Linked DNA regions of Kluyveromyces lactis. The protein of the gene in region 1 binds, or shares a complex with, the protein of each later gene. Links are inferred from orthologs where the notes say so. Each region holds a gene or a part of one and is shown on either strand. Other genes may lie near its edges. The genes, in order: SPC98 and SPC97.

The links.
Region 2: the proteins of SPC98 (region 1) and SPC97 are in contact, whole or in part, in a cryo-EM structure (PDB 7M2W), measured with the Saccharomyces cerevisiae proteins. The link is inferred for Kluyveromyces lactis from reciprocal best matches to the Saccharomyces cerevisiae genes SPC98 and SPC97. Residues at the interface, in NP_014273.1 of Saccharomyces cerevisiae: Ser163, Ser164, Val165, Thr166, Leu167, Arg168, Leu170, Ser171, Tyr174, Tyr175, Asn177, Thr178, Asp203, Glu205, Gln206, Ile207, Gln208, Ile209, Pro210, Ser211, Lys212, Ile213, Pro214, Asn215, Phe216, Ser218, Gly219, Leu220, His222, Leu223; in NP_012042.1 of Saccharomyces cerevisiae: Met1, Glu2, Ile3, Lys4, Glu5, Asp8, Arg9, Ala10, Glu11, Leu12, Thr16, Ile19, Pro20, Leu21, Leu22, Gly23, Lys24, Leu25, Val26, Asn27, His28, Gln29, Pro30, Leu31, Trp32, Asn35, Pro36, Lys37, Leu38, Phe41.

Annotation. Positions count from the first base shown.
Region 1 is NC_006042.1:2,258,527-2,263,047, forward strand, and holds SPC98 (Spc98p), read right to left. Parts: upstream 2,972-4,521; coding exon 491-2,971; downstream 1-490. Other genes in the region: ESBP6 (Esbp6p), read left to right, coding at 1-439; FAR11 (Far11p), read right to left, coding at 3,284-4,521. UniProt on the Saccharomyces cerevisiae protein: Involved in microtubule organization by the microtubule organizing center, the spindle pole body (SPB). Probably part of the microtubule attachment site at the SPB.
Region 2 is NC_006037.1:800,116-804,356, reverse strand, and holds SPC97 (gamma-tubulin-complex subunit SPC97), read right to left. Parts: upstream 2,985-4,241; coding exon 702-2,984; downstream 1-701. Other genes in the region: drug-responsive transcription factor PDR1, read left to right, coding at 3,576-4,241. UniProt on the Saccharomyces cerevisiae protein: Involved in microtubule organization by the microtubule organizing center, the spindle pole body (SPB). Probably part of the microtubule attachment site at the SPB.

The DNA.
Region 1 (4,521 bases):
ATGTGTCGGTCTATGTATTGGTGTAGCTAATGTTATGAACACCGTGCTAGTTGCTGACATCGTTGGACCGGTAGATTTTTTGCCCGCTTGGGGTTATGTTAACTTGGTGGGCTCTCCATTCATGCTTGTTGCTGAAGTTATTGCACAAGCGTTGACTGAACCCAACTCCAACGACCCATATCTCCACACTCAAATATTTGCGGGATGTTGTTTCGTTGCGGCATTACTCCTTATATTGGGATTGCGGGAGGTGACAGCAAAGATAAAGATAAAAGAAAGACAAACGATAAATTTGCAACGGTTAAAGGATTATGATGATTCAAACTTATCAGAAAAAGACAATAACATCTTGAGAGAAAGAGAGATCAAGTATGATTACTTACTTGGATCAGGCATCAAAAGCTACTTTGCAAGAATGTTTTATCCAATGCATGTATAAAACTCTTTCCACAGAGTCATCTATTCTTTTCTTCCGTCTATAAAAGTAGCATTAGTGAAGTATCTTACTTAGTTTATTTATTTCAGTATTTTCATCCCACTTCAAATCCTTGATATAAGCATTGCATTCATTATCAAAATCCTTCCATTGATCAACCAACTTCTTTGAAATTACATTGAATCTCATTATCGGGTCATGCAAATTTTGGTTAGGATCTAAGTTCATCTGAATGCAAATCTCATGAATGACGTTATTTAGCTCAGAGTAATTTAGCACAAACTCATAACTCATATCCATCAATAAAACCAAAGTAGTTGGATACAGCTGATGAGTGTATGTTCCAAGCGAAGCACCTGAACCTGAATATAAAATTGGATGATTCAAAATATTTGATAAGAATACAGAATGAGCTCTTTTTAGATCCTCAAGATCAAATGAAGAATAGCCGCTAACATCATCTGTCGTAAGTTCTTTGAAGTTTTCGATAAAATGAAGATCAGGTTTTAAAACACCGCTTGAGACTTTTACCCCATTTCTAAGCACTTTAACTTTAACCGAGGAGGTTGGATCGGTATCTTTATGATTTAGATTCGAAAGAAGCTTCCTAAATTCATGTTCAATAATACTCTCGAAACAATATGTTTCAACTTTTTTAGTGAAAGATTGAATCTGATTCTTTAAAACATTGATCATTGAAACTTTATTCAGTAAATCCCTAATAAATGGAACCCTGATGTTCAGCTTTCTAAAAAGTTTAAGAATGGATGAATTTTTTTGCCATTCTTGTTCATAATTGTACTCATTCTTTTTAATTCTCCATAAGAAGTTGAAAATTCTCAGATAATCTCTGCGGCTTCCGTGTTGGTTGATATCCATTACTGTTGAAAGAGGCTGATCCACGAGATAGTCTAATGTGAAAACATCCCAACCCGAAGATCCATGTGCTAATTCCAAAATTCTAGCATCAAGCCTATTCACCAAGAGATTGTTATCTGATTTGTTCAATCTATTTCTCAGAGATGATTGTTGAATTGCGATTTGTAGACACTTCGTTAAATGATGGCTTTCTAAAAGTTGAGAAGGTTGGTTGAAGAGATTTTCCGAGTTTTGAATAATAGAATCAATCACATCGCTTTTACCCATTAGAAGGATATCTTTTAAAAGGTTGAGAGTCTCGAAATAATAAAATTTCGATCGTAATGTGGTGTTGATATAGTGGTTAATTTCACCATATTGCTGGTTAACCAATTCGAAAAATTTGTGATCCATTGAAGGGCCTAATAGCCTATATTGCAATGAATACTTATTTGCAAATTTTCCAATCCATTCAACTTCGCTGCAGCAATGTTCGAGATATCGGAGGGACTTTCCAATAATGTATATTTTTTTGGCCACTAAAGACGGTATAAATTTTGGAATTTTCTGTGGCAAGAATACCAATCCCAATGGTTCTTTCTCGTCATTTTGAACAAAAAAGTCACTACTAACATTTGAATCCAGTTTTCCATCAATCAACCAATCGCATATGTTCTTCATGTAGGGTTGTAAAAGACGCTCTAACGCATCAGATGCAAATTTCTCGAGTACTGGATCACCATTACTTTTTTGTAACTGGCATACAGATAGTAATCCCTCTGCACTGCTTTTTTCAAAGTTTTCAATATATTCCATATATGTCCTTAGTTTTAGTACTTCAGGATAGAGGTGTTGATATGTAAAACATAATGGATCGAGTGGATGTAAGTGGGATGAGAAATTGTTGACGAAATTACTATAATCTCGAAGTTTACTTTGAATCAATGTCAAAAATGCTACTTTTAGTGTACTGGTGGTAACATGTTTTTTAAGATATTCCACTCTAATTTGAAGGTGCAAGTAAAGTAAGCCTGCTTCAACGATATCATGCAACTGTTGGCTTTCTCCGTTCGGAATATTGCTGGGTATTGTGAACTTCTTGTCTTTTAGTTCGAATAAAGTAGAGGGTGTTCCCAACACAAGATAGGGTATACTTTTAACGATATCGGCCCTCGATACCATTGTGCTGAAATATGGATCTGATAAGCTTTGTAATGTAGCATCAGATGAACTATGTTGCCAAGCATTTCCCCCATAGGACCCAATTGACCTTCTGTCCGATACCTTCTCAAAATTCTCAAAAGAATCCGCATAGACGCTTTCCGTTGTTTTCCTTTGTATATTTTCTATCACTTCTTTCGACATTGGTTCTCTCATATCATACAACTCATCGTTTTTGTCTAAAAGTGACAAACATTGCAGTAAATATTTATGTTTTTCTTCCGGACTTGAGAGATGGCACATGATGCCGGCAAACATTTCTAAATGAGACCAACTTTTCATGTCCTGATTGCGTTGCACCATTATTTTTTTATAATATTCCAATACTTTTGTGACATTTTCCTTTGATGATGTTTTGATAGAGTAGTAAAGGTCCTGAATTAATTGCTGAGAATACGCACTGCCAGCAGATGCAGGAAGCATGTGTAGTACACATGTGCCAAATTTTTGGTCCATTATTGTTTTTTCCGTTACCCCACAGTAGAGATAGGGGAAGAGGCTCTTTTTCACATCTTTTACCTTTCACTTTAGCGCACAAATCGTTCTTGTTTGTTGATATTTTCACAAAACAATATCGATCTACTGTTGTTGTATCCAATGATGTAAACATAAAGTGAAAAAGGTTGTGAAATAGTCACGTGATTGACTTTGGTGACCATCACAAGGATTGAAGGAAAGACATATGCAGACATACATGTATACATAATATATATATCAATACAGTACATGTATAATACATTTGTTTAACTTATTATTATGCCATATTTTTTAATAAGGAGCAGAGAGTAGTTCAGCCTCCCTTGAAAAGAAAGAGTTAGAGAATTTGTCATCGTACCCGCAATGTTCCATAGTTCTTTTATAGTGATAGAAATTGTAGAATTGCAGCATGGCCCGTAAAGCAATTTCTTGGCCATAGGAATCGTTGATCTCGCCCGTGATATCCTTCCCTGTTATCCAGTTATCTGTTAAATGAAGTTTCTCATGTAAGAACACTCCAGAAATCAATTCCATATGATCTGCCCTCCATCTTTTATTCTTGAATGGTGCCAATTCGTGAATTATCTTTAATATGGGGTGGTATATGTCCAGATTAAAGATAGAATACAATGCCTTGAATATGTTACTAACATTAAGTGGTAGGTCTTTTAGCCTTTGTGTCTTTTTCCCAGTTATTTTGGATAACACTCGTAATAGATACACCTCGGAATTGAGCATTCGGAGATTTAATCTGTTTGCTTTCTCATTTGCGGTTGATATCTCAAGAGTTTCTTTATATTGAACATTGTATAAAGAACATTCACTCCAAAAAGAATGGGTAGGTTGTAAATGTTTAGAGTAAATTCTGTTTTGATATTGATCAGTAAAAGATTGAAGGATGCCTACGCTTGTCGTAATGAACTTTGAATCGTAAATCAACGAGCAAAGATACTCAAATTTAAGAAAGTGGCTAACCTTAAACCATTTTAAAAGGAGGAAAAGTATGGCAGAACTCGATTCCATTGCAATTTCCTTTGATCTTATAAGTTCCAATTGTGGTTGAAGCTCATTAATTTCTTCTTCAGAAAAATCCTCTTCAAGGTATACTTTGTTTGACATACAAGTTTCAATAGTTTCTAATAGAACATATACTAGAGATGAAAAATGGGGTAAAGCATTAGCATAATAATCTTCGATGCGATTCATGGTTTCAGGTTCCTCATTCTGTATACCTCTATACGTGAATGGGTCCTTCTCATGTACCTCAGTGTTTGTCCATCCTCGTTCTTGCACCATAAATAATTCTCTTTCATGCCATAGTTGTTTAGTAGATAGTTTTATATGCACAGATTTTGACAAAATTTCGATTGCTTCTTGCATGTTATACGGTAACACTGTCTCAGGCACCGCAATACTCAGCTTATTACTAAGTTCGTCTACCACACCAGTATCATAGTCACCAGAGGATGGAAAAAATGCTGGATATGATAAATTGGCTTGAAATGACTTCCTCGTTTTCAATCCGTTGG
Region 2 (4,241 bases), on another chromosome or scaffold:
ATCAATTGACAAAACTGAATTAACCTTGAAAGTGATTTGAACGTCCTTTTATATAACCTCAAATCATGGGAAAGTACTTCAATGTCAATTGGTTGGTGGTGGTCCAAAGAAAAAAAAATTGACAAGAATCAATCAACTGTTTCTCATCAAAATTGAGCCAAATGGGAATCAGGGAATCAATGTTTGCTAGTCAGACAGCCAGTCACTATGGTGCAACATACAACGTGATTTCCAGATGCCAGTTATTATAGGATTCCAGAAAAAAAAGACAGTTGGGATGCGTGTAAACCGAGCGGTGGTTGATGATGGCGTGCCAGCTTCCGGGCTTCTTCTTTTTTTTTTCTCTGTGGGGTGCCTGGATTGTGAACGTGTCTTTCTGTGTGTACTGGAGAGACTTTTGCTATGTCTCTCACACGCGTGCATGTCTCATAATGTCTCGTCTGATGGACATGCATGTGCGAGACATGTGCTGCCTGTTTTCTGACTTCCTGTAATTCATAATGTGACACAAATGTACAATTTTTTTTTCGTTTTCTTTCCTTCTCAGCAGATTCCCGGGATACCGAATGCCAGTTTTTCTGTTGTCCCGGAGGGTAATCACACGGAAGCTGGGAAGTTGAGAACAAGAAAGAAGAACGAAGATTCTTCTTTGTCCCTCTTGCCATCCCGGAGGGACAAAAAATAAAAAAAAAGTAATAGGATCAACTGTTGGTTCTTGTAAGATCGCTCCATACGGAAACGTACTGTCTGAGGGTATCCATCCTTGTGATCCATCCGGATGAGCCAGATAGTTCATCATCAGAAGTCCTGCGCCATGAAGCTACAAACCTGATGAACGAGTGGATCACGTGAAGTGTGGCTTCTTGCAATTCGATCTGTGGCAGTGATGTTAATCCAGATAGGGATACGATGTTGGTCACGTGGTCCTGTACGTGTTGTTGAATCTGTAAGAGGTCTTCCTGCATTGGGTGGGTTCCAGTCGCGGCAACGGCTGTGGCAGCAGCGGCAGCAGACGTAACTTGGTTTCTTTTACTTTTCACCATTGATCTCATCTGGAAGTGCAATATTCGAGCTAACCTGATACATTGACCTCTAACGTAGAAATATCTAACACCATCATCATCATCGTCATTGTTGTCCTCGAAGATCATCCCATGCGTCTCGTATTCACTTTGCTGGGAAGAGTTGCGTCTCCAATGCTTGTTCTTACTGATTTCGAACCACGTGTCCTCTAGTAACCTTTCATGATATGAGAGTATCAATAATAACCTTTGTATCATTTGATATTGTACCATCACTGGTTTCGTCCATATTATGTTCAAAGGATACGGTATGCTTGTTTCGAATTGTACATACATTGCAGTTGGGGTTGCATTTTTCTTTTTTTTGCTCTTCCTCCCTTCATCGAGTTCATTTGAGCCCTGTGAAGTATGATTCTGTTCTTCAGCGACTAGCATCCCCTTTAATTGTTGGAAATTATCGGCGTTTAGCAACCCAGTTTCTTGTTCATCAATGAATTGTCTTAGAGTCTCGTAAAATGGGCATGTATCAATCTTCACGCTGGTCAATTTAGATAATATCATGTGTCTATAGGTATCTTCTACGGAAATTTCTTTTAAGATGTCATCGAAATGCCTTTGAATCTTGTGCAACGTAGACTCTGTCGGACTTCGAGTTAACTCGAATAGCGTCTTACTTAAGAATTTGGTGTTCCATAATTGATCGATGACTCCATGTACATACGACTGATCGTGTATCAGATTCAGAAATTTATCCATGTGGTACCCTTCGTAGTACATCTTGAGACACTTTTCGTTAGCCTGTTGGTAACATTCGTTGACATACCCTTTCAAGAAGGTCATATTTGTTATATCGATGTTAGTGACACTAGTTCCCCAGGATCTAGGTTTAAGAGCTGTGTTTCCGCAGCATATGGCGATTAAATTCCAAATTTTACCCGTCATCAATATTTTCTGTTGCAATTCTTTATCGCGAAATTGCGGAAGTAATCCATCCTTCCGTATCACGAACCTTGTATCCCATAACCTTTCATTATCTATCGTATTAGCCAATTTTTCTTCGTCCACATCGGCGACCGTATCACTTATCAAGAACTCTTCATGGTAATCGTTCAATTTTCCCTCTTGCATCCATTCAACAAACATCTGACCGTAAACACGGTTAAGAGAATCGCATATTAGGGATAAAAATTCAACGTGTCTTATATCACCTTGTTCTTGTTCCATTATCTGTTGTACTATGATAATTAAGGATCCTCCTTTCACGAATAAGGAAACCCGGGTATCGTATAGTACACGTAGATCTAACTCGTCATTCGTATCTCGCCTTAGATCATCCATGAAATTGTTAAAATCCATTTGAACTCGATCCATTTCACTCCGTTCCCTGGTACTGTCCATAATCCGATCAACTATCTGATCTAAAAGTCTAAACTTGTATATGAATCCATCTTCAAGTACCATCTCCAAATCTCGTATACTGAACTTCACATCTTGCTGAAACCGTATTTCCAACTCCTTGATACAACTCAAGTAATTTTCATACAAAAATATGCGTACCTCATGGCCCAAGCGGTGCATTACTCTACCGTATCTCTCGTCGCAACACCATTGCTGGAATTTATCTAATTTCACAAATATTGATCCTATCTTGATCAATTTTTTACTAAAACTCTTAAACGTAACATTCATCATCTTAACAACTTTATACTCGGGACCGGTCATCGAATCTCTTCTATAGCTGCTATTGTACCGGATGTACACTCCCTCGTACCCTTGCAACACAAGTAACAAATCCCGAACTACCAAGCTTTCCTGTACCCTATCATTGCTAGTTTTTTCAATCGGATACGTCCTAACTTTAATCTCTTCGCTACACAGTGGAGCAGGGTTCACTCGACGACCAAACGGTCCTACCTTATCGTTAAGTAGAAACACGCTCTCAACAACACCGCGATCCTCCATTCGTTTGTTCGTCTTTCAATGCAACAATATGCTAATTCTAGTTTAATTTTTGATAAATCCACACTGACTTCACTGATTATATGTTACCAAATGTGCTACAGGATCACACAATCGTTCTATAGGTATTAAGCGGTGGAATGGTTGGTTATCTTCATTGTTTACATTTAACTTAAACATCTTTTATGTTTATGTTTATGTTTTTGTAAAATCATTTCGCTGGATAATTAGACGCGCGCCTTAGCGCTACGATGAGATGCGCTCTATATCCGGGTAACTTTTGGTTCACTAAGAAAAGTGAAAAATTACAAAGCCATAATGAAAAACCCATTATTCAGCCTGTATTCAGATTTAATAACGATGACTTTGAGTATTTGATCTGTAAATAAATCGTTTTCATATACACCTAAATCTATATTTGGTGTCATGAATGAGTGCAAATAAAAAATTTGGTATCCTCAATTAATACTACATGATTTTTTGAGTGAAAAGTGCTTTTCTAGTGGGTTTTTAGGGGTTTTAGGATTTTGTTTGAGCGGAACGACATAAGAGTAACGCAATAAAACAAAATACAACATAATAAATTATCGGAGGATGGTTGACATATTTCAACCTGCCGTTTCTCCTCCAGGGCTTTCTGAAGAAGCTGCAAGGTCAGATAGTGCTTCTTCTGGGGTGAATGGGGACAGAACTGCAATTCCTAGAGATAGTAATGGCAACGGCACTGGTAAACCAAGAAGGAAAGTTAGCAGAGCTTGCGATAGTTGCAGGAAAAAGAAGATTAAATGTTCTGGAACATTGCCTTGCAAATCGTGCGAGACATATGGCTGTGAATGTGTTTATTCTCATGCTCCGTATGGGGTCGCAAAGGGCAAGAAAAAAACTGCCAAGAGTGATTCATCTGCTTTCACAAAGGAAAAATTATCGGTACAGTCTATACCAAATAGTACAGTAGCTATTTTGAATCCCGAAATAGATGGGAACTCCTACGCACCTTCTAGAACAGGTTTTAGTGAGGCTACAATTACTGGAGTACAGAGTCATTTACACTCATCGAGATCATCATTTGGGAGAGATTCTAGTTCGGGTCCTAGTGCCACCGGGTCCATGTCAGTGACACAGACGAGTCACCCTGTTGGGTTTTCATGTCCAAGACGCTTTGATCCTGTGAAAGATGATGCCTCAACGAATATCAACGATCCATCTAGTGATGACATCAATCGATACCCAATTTTATACATTTCTAATGCGGAAATAGAG